Linked DNA regions of Sus scrofa. The protein of the gene in region 2 interacts with the protein of the main gene of each other region in a pairwise test. Links are inferred from orthologs where the notes say so. Each region holds a gene or a part of one and is shown on either strand. Other genes may lie near its edges.

Region 1 (4,111 bases), about 73 Mb from region 2:
CTATTCACACCTCAACCCCTTTTTTCAGAGACAGGAAATTCTCTGGGGTCCCAACACTTGTGTGTAACCGGCAGGTCTTGACCCATTAGTCCTATCCACATCCCTAACGCTCCCCAAGGCCAGGCCCCTCTCTCCTCTATGTCAACTCCAGCAGGGCCTGCGGCTCAGATTCCCTACCCCCGCAAGTCTCCGTTTGTCCCCGGCCCCATTCCCAAGGTTTCCGAAGTTTCTTTCCAGGCAAGAGCTAAGCTCCTCTTTTTCTCAAAGTCTGGGGATGGCAGTTAGGTCCCTTTCACGGGAGTCTCCTTATCCCGCCTCCATCCTTCAGACCACCCCCTCCTTCCTTCGGTCCCGGACCTGGTCACTTCCTTCCCCACCCCCACATCAAGGCACGGAGACCCCTTGTGCCGCGCCCAGGAACAGGGGACGCGGCGCGGCAACGACCTCAGACTCACCGGCTGGACGGGGACTGGGACCGGGGGGGCGGGGAGGGGAGGGGAGTTTCTGCTTCCAAGGAACCGCGGCGACGGCTACAACGCAGGCCGCGGATCCAACCGCGGCAGGCGAAGTGGGGCGGGGGGAGTGGAAACTGGGGAGGGTGGGGAAGAGGGCAACGCGCAAGCGCTTAAAATCGTGCGCCGCGGTGAACGCCGGGAGATGGAGTCCTCGGAAGCTAGAAACTGGCGCAACTGAGAAAGGGCGAACTACGAATCCCAGGACGACCCGCCCACGACCCTGGTGTCGCGAGGCCCCTGAGGGAAACGCTCCGGGGCGGGGCGTAGGGAGCCGCCACCGGAAGCGGAAACGCAGTACCGTGTTCTGGGCCAGGGAGCCTGGGAAATATAGTCGAGTGATCTTATCACCGTGGGGCTGAGAGGGGGCGGGGAAAGGAACAAGACAGGCTGGATCATTTACTGCCGCTCCCTCTCACACAACGAGCCTCAGGCGTGCGGCCCTGCTACCCAGACCATTGACCTCATCACCGACCAGCTGCCTGGCCCTTATCGCTTGTGGAGCCCCCCTGTCCGAGTCAGCCTGCCAAGGAGACCCTCAACGGGGCCCATATTTCACTCAAGGGTTTGATCTCCTGAGGTGGGAGGTGAGGCCGGGTTCCGCGCTGAGGGACCTGGGTAGGGTGTGCTGGCTGAGCTGAGAGGTGTGAGAATCGGGAAGGTCCCGTGCGCTAACCTGAGGTGGCGCCAGCCATTCTGTTGCTCGTCCCCTTGCACTTCTCCATTTCCTTTTAAGGCTTGAACAGGGCCTTCTGCTGCGGGTGCTAAGTGCGACCTTCCAACCCTGGTCAGATTAATGGTGAGGGGCTGCGTGACTATTTCATTTCACGGCTTCTGGGCATTCTCCGCCTCAGGGCCTTTCTTAACCCAGAGGGTGGTTTCCCAGGTCCAGAAAATGAGCTTGGAGCGGGGGCCACGTTGAGGGAGGCGAAGAGCATTGTGGGGGCGTTAGGTAAAAGCAGGACCCCAACCGACAGATATTTCTCGATCCTCGCGCTACCAGGGCACGTGGCGTTTTGCGCTTGTGTTATTGGAAAGATTCCAGGGCGGGAAATAGCCCGGAGCAGCGCGCCTGCGTGCTCCAGTATTGTTTTTGTTTGTCCCCCGCCCGCTCCCCATTCAGCTGCGCATGCGGCTTTGACTGTGGACGCCTTTGCTTAGAGTAGCGCCATTTTGCAGTACGGAAGCTGCAAAGCAACGAGTGGAACCTCCCCGCGAATCGGCTTCCTGCTTCCGGACAAATGTCAAGTCTGTTTTTGTTTAAGAATACCCCGAAATAGGATCCAGGAAGATTTAAAGAGCCAGGCTGATTGTTTTCCTTAATGGTATGTCCCGCGCAGTTGTAAAGTAGTTTCAGAGAAAGGCTGTTATTATTGATGGTGAGGATGGAGTGGGGGCAGAGCACAGGACTTCTGGGCAACTGTCTTACAGAGTCTACTTTGTTAACCTTTACTAAGGGGCATGGTCTGTTACCATAGGGTTTCCTATTTTTACACAATCCGTGGTCCTCGGGGTTCACTTTCCGCGTAGGAGGGTTTTTGTTTGTTTTTGTCTTTAGGGCTGCACCGGTGGCATATGGAGGCTCCCAGGCTAGAAATGGAATTGGAGCTACAGCTGCTGGCCTACACCACAGCCACAGCAACGCAGGATCCAGCCGTGTCTGCAACCTACACCACAGCTCACAGCAACGCCGGATCCTTAACCCACTGATCTGAGGCCAGGGATCGAATCTAATCAGGTTTGTTAACCACTGAGCCACGAAGGGAACTCCCGGGAGGGGATTTTTGATTCTAAGGATACTTGTTTTTATCCCAGCAGGTGTCTGTAGGTGATTCTGGTCATTGCAGGACCATCTGGGACTTGGCTTCCCCCTGCCTAATCTCATTTTCCCAACTCTCCCCAAAGCCATGTCCGGGTCCTCCCTCATTAACTTTACCCCAGCCACTGACCCCAGTGATCTCTGGAAAGATGGGCAACTGCAGTCACACCCTGAAGAGCTGGAGCCCACCCTGGATGGGGCTGCAGCCCGGGCTTTCTATGAAGCTTTGATTGGGGACGAGGACAGCACCCCTGAGCCCCAGAGATCTCAGCCTGAGCCTGCTAGAAAGAGGAAGAAAAGACGAACGATGAGGGAGACTACAGCAGGAGCATCAGGAGAAGATGGACAAAGGAGATCCCTTGAGGCAGAGGACAAGATGACCCAGCAGATACTGAGGGCAGCCCAGGAGGGGGACCTGGCAAAACTGAAAAAGCTGTTGGATCCCCATGAGGCAGGGGGAGCTGGAGGGAATATCAACGCTCGAGATGCTTTCTGGTGGACCCCACTGATGTGTGCTGCCCGAGCAGGCCAGGGGGCAGCTGTGCGCTATCTCCTGGGCCGTGGGGCGGCCTGGGTGGGGGTCTGCGAGCTGGGTGGCAGGGATGCTGCTCAGCTGGCGGAAGAAGCAGGCTTCCCTGAAGTGGCCCGCATGGTCAGAGAGAGCCCCGGAGAGACAAGGAGTCCAGAGAACCGGTAAGGGGAAGCCTTATCTTTCATTGTGTTCTGCCCTTCCTCACACTTCACACAGGAGGCCACAGAATAGAGCCAAAGGGTTTACTTTCCTGTTCCCTAATGTAGGCTGATCGGGCAGTGTGATTATGAACAGGATACTCCCTTGGATTATTTTTTATATAAAACATTTTTTTCATTAAAAAAAAAATTGGGGTAGTTCCCATTGCGGCTCAGTGGTAACAAACCCAACTAGTATCCATGAGGACGAGGGTTCAGTCCCTGACCTCAGTGGGTTAAGATCTTGGCATTGTCGTGTGGTGTAGATCTCACATGAGGCTCGGATCTCACATGGCTGTGGTTGTAGCATAGGCCAGCAGCTACAGCTCTGATTTGGCCCCTAGTCTGGGGACTTCCACATGCCGCAGGTGTGGCCCTAAAAAAGACAAAAAAAATTTTAAGTTTTTTAATTGAAGTATAGTTCACGTATATTTGCTATATTCCCACATTGCATGGGCTCCTTGGGTTTAAATCCTGACTGTACTTACGTGGGCAAGCAACCTAACCCATGTGCCTCAGTTTCCTCATCTAAGAAATGGAGCAATAAAAGCACCTTTCTCTTAGGGTTGTTAGGGTCAAATAGGTTAATATATGTAAAGTGCTAGAAAAGCACCTGTCCCATACTAAGCACTATACCAACACTAGCTATGGTCACTATTGTTATTTTTCATCACCCAAGAACTTTGTGAAGCCTTTTTAACATCTGTTGGCTCAACTATTCCCTTTTGGGTCTCTTATCATGAAGTGGGGAGGAAGGCAATTTGTTCCTCAGCAGAAATACAGGAAGGACCTAACCCTGCCACCCTCCTGAGGCCTCAATCCTTGTGTTGCCCTTAACCATTCTTTTTTCTTTGCAGGCCCCGATCCCTCTCCCCCCAGTACTGTGAGACCTGTGATGCCCACTTCCAAGACTCTAACCACCGTACATCCACCGCTCACCTGCTCTCACTGTCCCGGGATCTCCAGCCCCCCAACCTGCCCCTTGGGGTGCCTACCTCCAGCCCAGGCTTTAAGCTTCTCCTAAGGGGGGGTTGGGAGCCTGGAAAGGGAC
Region 2 (4,011 bases):
GGATTTTTTTAGTGATGGGGGAAATCTTCCTGAAAAAATGAAGATACAGAGCTTAATTACACTGAAAATTTTTATATGTTGCAGAAAAATAAGAGAATTTAAAAAATATTTTTATTAATATACATGTATTTGATAACTTCGAATTTAAAACATTTAGAATCAGCATGAACATGGTAAACTACTCTTCAATGACAAAGATTTGAAATGGGGGAATAGATGCTGTAACTGGTTCCTATTAACCTCCCCATGCATTTTATATCTGCATCTTACACAGTGAAAACTTGATTTACACAGCCCTGTAAGCGCAGTATCGTTCTAACACCCCATTTTGTAGTCTCAGAACACTTTTCAATTAAACTGATCTAGATCTTTAAAGATGTACAGTAAGAAATCTGCACTGTAAAGCTGAATAATACCTTATTCACATTTCTTTCCATTAATATAAACCAGGAACAATTTACGGTAGACACAAAAACTATTCACCACAGTTAAGAGTAAACAGTTGACATTTTTTACTGAACAGTTCTTTTGGTATCCAGGCCCTGCACTCATTATACATCTGAACATGCAATTTCATATTTAATTACCTTGATGGGAAGAGTCACGAGACCACATTTTTCACAACCGATGATGGTGCCATGATGATAGCTTGCAATGAGGACTCACGTCCAAGCCTTTCCCTGGCATTGTAGCTAGCATGACCCACGAGCGCTGCAGCAGATCTGGTGCTCCCCTGCACGATTGTGCTAATGACACATGAATACCCAGGCCGGACTCCCGCCCAAAAACAAAAAACACCGCTTAGTCTTTACTAGCAGGAGACACACCTGTAAGACATCACAGAGACAATGAAAGCAGCCGTGATCTAGGTCTGAACTAACGCCCCCTTTCCTGGGACTCAGAAGTGCCCCTCCAGGCCTAACTGCAGGAGGGCGGCCTCAGCCTCCTCCTCCTCTTCCTTGGCCTCCTCCTCGCGGATCTGCACCAGCAACTGGAAGAGGTTGGGGGCCGGCCCTTCAGCAGCCCCGGTCAGCCACAACTGCCTTCGGATGGCTCCGCTGTGATTGGCCCCGGCAATGACCTGCTCCAGGCGGGCCTGGTTCACGTTATCTTTATCTATGGCCCCCTTCTCAACCACCTTCTGCAGCAGAGGCTCCAGACGAATCACATAAGCAGATAATTTTTCTCCCGGGTTCTGGTATGTGTTCAGAAATCTCACCTGCGCATCCCTAGAGCTCTCGACGCTCCCAAACACCTGCTCCAGCGCCTTCAGGCATTCAGCGGTGGTAATCGCAGGGTTGTTGGTCTTGAGGATGCGGATGACATCAGCGGCAGGGCCTCTAAGGCTCTCCATCAACCGCCGCCTCTTTTCTACATCAGGCACCTGCCACTCCTCTATGACCTCATTAGTGTGCTCCAGCCAGGGATCAAATGCCTCCTCCCCTGGCCCCGGAATGTCCCTTCCCGAGAACAACGTCAGCTTCTTGTACCATATGGACTCAACCAGAGGCTGAATAACATTATCCAAAATATAGTTTAGCATCTCTGCCGGCATTTCGGGGCCTGGGGCCGGAGTGGGGTTCTGAAACCCAAGGACACGGGCAACATCTTGCACGGTCCACCCCTCTCTTGCTAGGAAGAGGTGCAACCTTTCTAAAAATTCAGCATCGGAAGTGGGGGGCTTAAAGACTACTTTCCAGACCCCTCCTTTACCTGGCATCTCCCTGGGGATCGCAGCATAATCGACAGCACCAGTGAGCTCTAACAAGGCTGCTTTGGCATTCTCTTCCCTCCAGAACATTCTCCCAAGCACTCGATAGGGCACCTGGGGCATCGCAGCTTGAAAGGTCTCTTCGATTTCGGTCTCATCACAGTTCACAGGGATCCCCCAGACCAGAAGGGCTCTCTGGGAGTTCACATCCATCCCCCTACACCAATCTTCCAGCAGTGTCATCGCCATTTTCCCAACTATCAAGGGCCCCAATTCTACAAATACAATTAGACTGTGGCTCCCTGTGCTCTAAAACTGAAGACAATAGCAGACGCTCCCACCGCCACCTCCCCCCATATGCCCGAGGGAGTCAATCACGTTTAACAAACGACACCAGTGTCCTGCTCTCCTCTTTTCGCTGCCCCTCAAAGCCAGGCCTCCGCGTTCTCGGAACGAAGCCTCGGGGATGCTCAGTCACATGGCCATCGCCATCTTGTGTCTCCGGTCGGGATCCGCAGGCCGGGTCCTCCACTTACAGGAAGGTGTCGCGTCGGAGCGCAGAGGCGAGGAAAAAAGGCGGGCGGCGAAAGCAGGAGCCGCAGGGCTTGATCGCGGGACGTGGCCGCCTCTTCGCAGCCTGGGCGCCAGGCACTCGCTGCTGCTCCCAGAGGGTGCAAGCTTTCGTTGCCAGAGCGGAGCACGCCTCAGACGAGCTAGGAGCCGCTTCTCCGCAGACAAGAACTAGTACCGCCCCCGGAGGGAAAGACTGTCCTAAGGGAAAGACAGCGGCGGCAGCGAGGCCAACCCGAGAGAGCTTCTTCGTGGGCAAACGTATCCCTCTGGGCGGCGAGGACGCCAAGGACCAAGAACACAGGCAGCAGAGGCGCAGGAAAGACGCGGAAGCCAGGCTAGAGGAGGCGCAGGCGCAGTCGCAGGCAGGCCGCGGCAGCCCCGCACGCAGGCGACCGCGGGCCGAGGTGGGCTGGAGCTGCACAGTTGTACCTCGGTCCCACCCGCAGCCAGCCTAGCCTTTACTGCCGCAGTGGAGGGCGGGGCCGGCCTTCGACCCGCCTCGCCCCGCCCCCCGCGGCCCTGCCCGCGCGACCGTAGCCACGGCAACCACCGACGCGAGACGCCGGAGCTCTAGCGGCCTGCAGGGGCGAATGGTTGCCATGGTGGCAGCTCGGGGCCGCGGGCGTTAATTTCCTTTACCGCGCATTTCCTTTTTCGCATTTTCCAGATTTTTTTTTTTCTTAACAAAGCACTGTGTTTAAAAGATAATATAATTCTGGAGTGGATTTAAGATGATATCCGGCCGTCAAGAAAGACTTGTCTACTCGCGTCGCTCGTTCAGAGGCAATGCTGTATAATACCCTGTACCACCTGACTGCACTCTGCACCCTCTAAATTTTATCCCAGTGAGTTGAGACTTCTTCTTGTCTAAAATGTTGTAAAAAGATCTAGATCTCTATGAATAGTAACCCGGCAAACACTAATGTGTTATTTCCCCTGCCCTGGCATCATGGATAAAACAGGCCTTATGGTTCAAAAATGTCAAGTATCCTTTGGAAGCAAACCAAGGCACACTTACAATCCCAGATGGTGAGATAATAAATCTTTCCCCCAAAGGACACAGAAATCAACTCTGAATTTTTAAAACCTTATTTAATAAAAGGTTTAAAGATACAGAAGAACATTCAAAAGTAAATAAGTTACATAGGTACATTACAATCACATCAGCAAGATTTTCTTTAGTGTGTTAATTTTTTTTTTTATAAAAAGCACACAAAAAATAAAATCTTCCGTCTGGTCTATCACAACTGTACAGCAAAAGAGGTAATATTTATATATATGTACACTATTTTAATATGTAACAGTCTTTTAAAAAAGGGTGCCACAGGCAGCAAACACACAAAAGGCAGTGTCTGATTTTTTCAAAATAAAAGGAATATACTTATTTATATGCTATTAAAATATTTGTACAATAATTACAGACTATCAAGGCTGTTCCTGTGCTCTGTCCCCTCCAACAAGGCCTTTGACTAAGAGACAAATGAGGAAAAGGTGAAACAGCTGCAAATTGTTAGTTAGAGGCAAATATTAATACAGCAAAATATGGGGAGGACATACAATTGTTTTATAAAAATATGCATACTTCCTGTAAACCTAAGGAGTTAGGCTTGCCACTGGTAATAAATACCATCTGAGAAAACTGAGCCCCGGTAAAAACATATTTAAACAGCTGAGGCTTGTGTATGTGTTGTATTCCTCCTTCATCTTAACATCTGGCACATGAGAAG
Region 3 (4,002 bases), on a different chromosome or scaffold from region 2:
CAGAAAAGGGGAAAAAAAAAAAAAAAATGTACACACCTAAAAGTTTCCAGAGTCCTACTGGATTCTGGACTAGATGCTGTTTCACCAACAACATGCTGATCCCGCCAAAGGTGGGGGTTAGGAGTCGCAACTGGAAACTCTGAAGAAAAAAGAACGATGCTGAGAATCAATCCAGCAGTACCGCAGCGCGCCCAGGCCACTCGGACGAACTCCGGGGTGCCAAGTCTTTCCTAAAAGCGGGGAGTTATATATTTGTAACATTTACACCACGGCCTGAAATACGAAGTAATACTCTGAGCGTTGCTTCAAAGTTTTAACACAACATCACCAAAAAATAAATAAAAATGTCAAGAGTGAGTATGTCAAAGAAATGCTTAAAGCAAGGTGCTGAACACGGCGCCCAGCTCTTCCGCAGGAAACAGCAGCGAAGGCCTGGACTCTCCGCTCCAGACAAACACTCCTTGGAGCACATTTCCAGGACCCAGGTGCCGCTTTCCCACCTGAATGCTTTTGCCGTGATGGTCAGTTTAGTTTTTTCTATCTCTGCATTGCCAATTTCTTTTCTTTTTTTCTCCTTCCTCCCTTCCTCCTCCCCCTTTCTTTCTTTTTTCTTTTTTAGGGCCGCACCTGCAGCATGTGGAGGTTCCCAGGCTAGGGATCAAACTGGAGCTGCAGCTGCCGGTCTACACCACAGCCACAGCAACAAGGGATCTGAGCCGTGTCTGCCACATACGCTGCAGCTCACGGCAACGCTTGATCCTTAACGCACTGAGCAAGGCCAGGGATCGAACCCAAGTCCTCATGGATACTAGTCGGGCTGGTTACTAAGCCAGGACAGGAACTCCATGTGTTAGCAATTTCTGCATCTATTTTTATTCTTTTTAAATTGTTTTCCTTAGCTCACCCCCAGTTTGCTGCTATTACAGAGAAAAGTAACACCTTTCTGAGCGCTCTTTGGCAAGGGCTGCTCCTTAAGAAAGAAGATGTTACGTGTGATTTCCTTCTAGCAACAGGTTGAAAATTCCTACTTTTCACTATTATTGTTGATTTTAATTAAAAGTTTTCCTCTTGGGCGTTCCCTTCGTGGCTCAGTGGTTAACAAACCTAAGATCCATGAGGATACAGGTTCATCCCTTGGCTCACTCAGCGGGTTAAGGATCTGGTGTTGCCGTGAGCTGTGGTGTACAGGTCGCAGACATGGCTCGGATTCTTCGTCGCTGTGGCTATGGTGTAGGCCGGCAGCAGCTCCAGTTTGACCCTTTGCCTGGGAACCTCCATATACCATGAGTGTGGCCCTAAAAAGCAAAAAAAAAAAAAAAAAAGTCTCTTCTTGGTTCAGTGATGACAAGAAGGCATATAAGGGAAACTCGGCCAAGTAAATGAATAACATTAGTGTGGTAAATAGTAACAAAGGGGGGGGGTCACTCTTCAAAATCAGCCCTAGAATTCCCTAGTGACTCAGCAGGTTAAGAATCCAGTGTTATAAGTGCAGTGGTTCCAGTTACTGCAGCAGCGCCGGTCCCATTCAAGGCCTGACAATTTGCAAATGCTGTGGGTAGAGCCAAAAAAAAAAAAAACTCCCCAAGACAAAGAACACAGTCAGCCCTAAATACCATTTGCTTAAACCTCACATACTTTGATTACTCTTACAGCCCTTAGTGAGGTAATCTGCTCTATGTCACAAGTACATGAGAACTGCCTACTTCGGCCTTTATCTTCATAGAATGATCAGAGTCTGACAACAGATGATATGATTTTCCTCAACAGAATTAAAAAACCGGAGTTCCCATTGTGGCTCAGTGGTTAACGAATCCGACTAGGAACCATGAGGTGGTGGGTTCGATCCCTGGCCTCGCTCAGTGGGTTAACGATTCGGCGTTGCCATGAGCTGTGGTGTAGGTTGCAGACGTGGCTTGGATCCCGCGTTGCTGTGGCTGTGGCGTAGACCAGTGGCTATAGCTCCGATTCAACCCCTAGCCTGGGAACCTCCATATGCTGCAGGAGCGGTCCTAGAAAAGGCAAAAAAATAAAAAAACAAAAACAAAAAGTGCAATATATCTATAGTTGCCTTGGCAGGGTGGCCAGGTATCTAGAATAGAATTAAAATATGAAATTGGTCCTAAAACTATGGTAAAATGGAACAACATAACCTAAAAGAGGGCTAAAAAGCACCAGGACTTAAGGTCTTTGTTTCAGGGTGAAATGTTGACCTCACAGGACCTGGAACAATCTTTACACAGTCAATGAGTTTGTGTTCACAAGTCAAGCTACAGCACAAAAGTAAAACAGTTACAGGTGTTTTTCTCACAAACAAAACTTTCAGAAAGCCCACTTAAGAGCATCTGGAAGGCGCTGGAATTCAACCTGGTGACATCTGATCTATGCGAGCCAAGTGCAAAACTGTGCTCTGCTAAAAAGTGATGGAAGTCTTACTCGACTCAATTCCAAAGCGCTATGAAAAGCAGCAGAAGATAGCAACACACAAAACCAGGGCTAGAAAAACGCCAAGGCGGGGCCGTGCGGCCTCGCCCACGCCCCTCCCCCGGGGGCAGCCAGCTGGAGCGGCACCGCCCGCAGCACCACGCCAGGGGCCGCACCTCACCTGCAGGACTCGGCTTCCAGGCCCGACACAACCCACTGGAGGCCTGTGGACCACGTACAGCCACCTCCACCCGACCCCGGCGGAGCAGCCCGGGCTCCTGCCTGAGCAGCAGCCCCGCAGTCGCCCCCGCCCGGGCCCTGGCCCCGGGCGGAGAGCGCGTAGCAGCAGCCACGGCGCCGCCATGTTGACCCGGAAGCGGTACCTACGCGGTCCGGGCCTCCCGGGGCGCCTGCGCGGTCCCGGCCTCCCGGGGCGCCTGCGCGGTCCCGGCCTCCTCGGGGCGCCTGCGCGGTCCGGGCTGCCTGCGCAGTCAGGCCGGCTGCGTCTCTGATCCCGCAGAGGTTCGCAGGTGGTTTGAGGCGCCACACTGTGCAGAGCGCTGCGAGTAGACCTGCAGCCGGGCGGACGCGGGAGGGAGGGCTTCAGGACTCTGCGCCGGGCCGCTTTTCCCAGGAGGACTTGGCGCAGCGGCTCCTAAGGCCGCGGAGGGCGCGAGAGAGCCCGAAGGGCGTGGAGCGTGCGCAGATGCGACCCTGACCGCGACTCCTGCTCGGATCCCCGACTCAGACCAGGACTTCGACCCCAACTCCCGCCTGGATCCCCGACCCTAACTCCGACTCCCCCCCCGGGACCAGGACTCTGACCCCGACTCCGATCCGCAGACCCAGTCAGGTCTTGGCGCGGGGAGGGTGCTGCCCAGGGGAGGGCTTTGCTGGTGCAGCCTCTGGCCCCTGGGCGGTGCCTGGAAGGTCCTGCGCGCTAGAGGACGAGGAAGGGGCCTCGGGTAAGAGCAGGGTCTTCAGAAGAGGGTAGCAGACGGCTGGCATTCTTGTCCTTCAAGATGCTTAATTTCGGAGAGGTTACAACCTTCTCCTGGAGGCAGGCGGACTCACTCTGGAAGTCGTGCCCATCTCTTGTGTCCAGGATCACAGCCCAAGAGAAGTAGGCCACTCTCGTCCCTGGGGAAAGGGCAGGGGTCTGAGGCATCCTGCCCTTGGGATTCCGTACCCTATGGTCCCTCTTTCGCGGCCCACCTGAGGTCTGGTGCTTGAATGCTTAGCTCTGAGACTGCTGGTTGTGTTACAGGGTCACTTCAGCTTGTTTCTCTGTTTTTCTGTATTCCCCAGATTCCTGGTCGCTCAAGGAGAGCCAGTTCTCCTAACTGCTACCTAGTGCCTGGCGCCATGTCAAACATTCATTTACTCTTCACAGGTGTGCAGACTCCTTTTATGTCTGTTTTACAGAGAGGGAAACAGATTTAGAGCAATTTAAAGTAAGCTCCCGAGGTTACAGCTAAGGAGTCATGAGCAGAATTTCAGAGCTCGTTTGACTGTTTGCAGGGCCTGTGCTCTCCGACCTATGGATTCAGGTGTGACAGGAGTGACAGGTATGACACACGT

What was found. The genes of interacting proteins can lie anywhere in the genome.
Region 1: the proteins of PNMA1 (region 2) and GPANK1 interact in binary tests that used the Homo sapiens proteins (3 or more experiments, as listed by UniProt). The two-hybrid records come from large-scale screens. The link is inferred for Sus scrofa from reciprocal best matches to the Homo sapiens genes PNMA1 and GPANK1.
Region 3: the proteins of PNMA1 (region 2) and SPG7 interact in binary tests that used the Homo sapiens proteins (3 or more experiments, as listed by UniProt). The two-hybrid records come from large-scale screens. The link is inferred for Sus scrofa from reciprocal best matches to the Homo sapiens genes PNMA1 and SPG7.

Annotation. Positions count from the first base shown.
Region 1 is NC_010449.5:23,777,547-23,781,657, reverse strand, and holds the start of GPANK1 (G patch domain and ankyrin repeat-containing protein 1), read left to right. Parts: upstream 1-1,311; 5' UTR 1,312-1,837; exon of another isoform or gene 1,838-2,250; intron 2,251-2,327; exon of another isoform or gene 2,328-2,330; 5' UTR 2,331-2,419; coding exon 2,420-3,024; intron 3,025-3,917; coding exon 3,918-4,111.
Region 2 is NC_010449.5:97,049,058-97,053,068, forward strand, and holds PNMA1 (paraneoplastic antigen Ma1), read right to left. Parts: upstream 2,801-4,011; 5' UTR 1,961-2,800; coding exon 899-1,960; 3' UTR 93-898; downstream 1-92.
Region 3 is NC_010448.4:436,407-440,408, forward strand, and holds the start of SPG7 (paraplegin), read right to left. Parts: upstream 2,801-4,002; 5' UTR 2,786-2,800; coding exon 2,603-2,785; intron 140-2,602; coding exon 37-139; intron 1-36. UniProt on the Homo sapiens protein: Catalytic component of the m-AAA protease, a protease that plays a key role in proteostasis of inner mitochondrial membrane proteins, and which is essential for axonal and neuron development.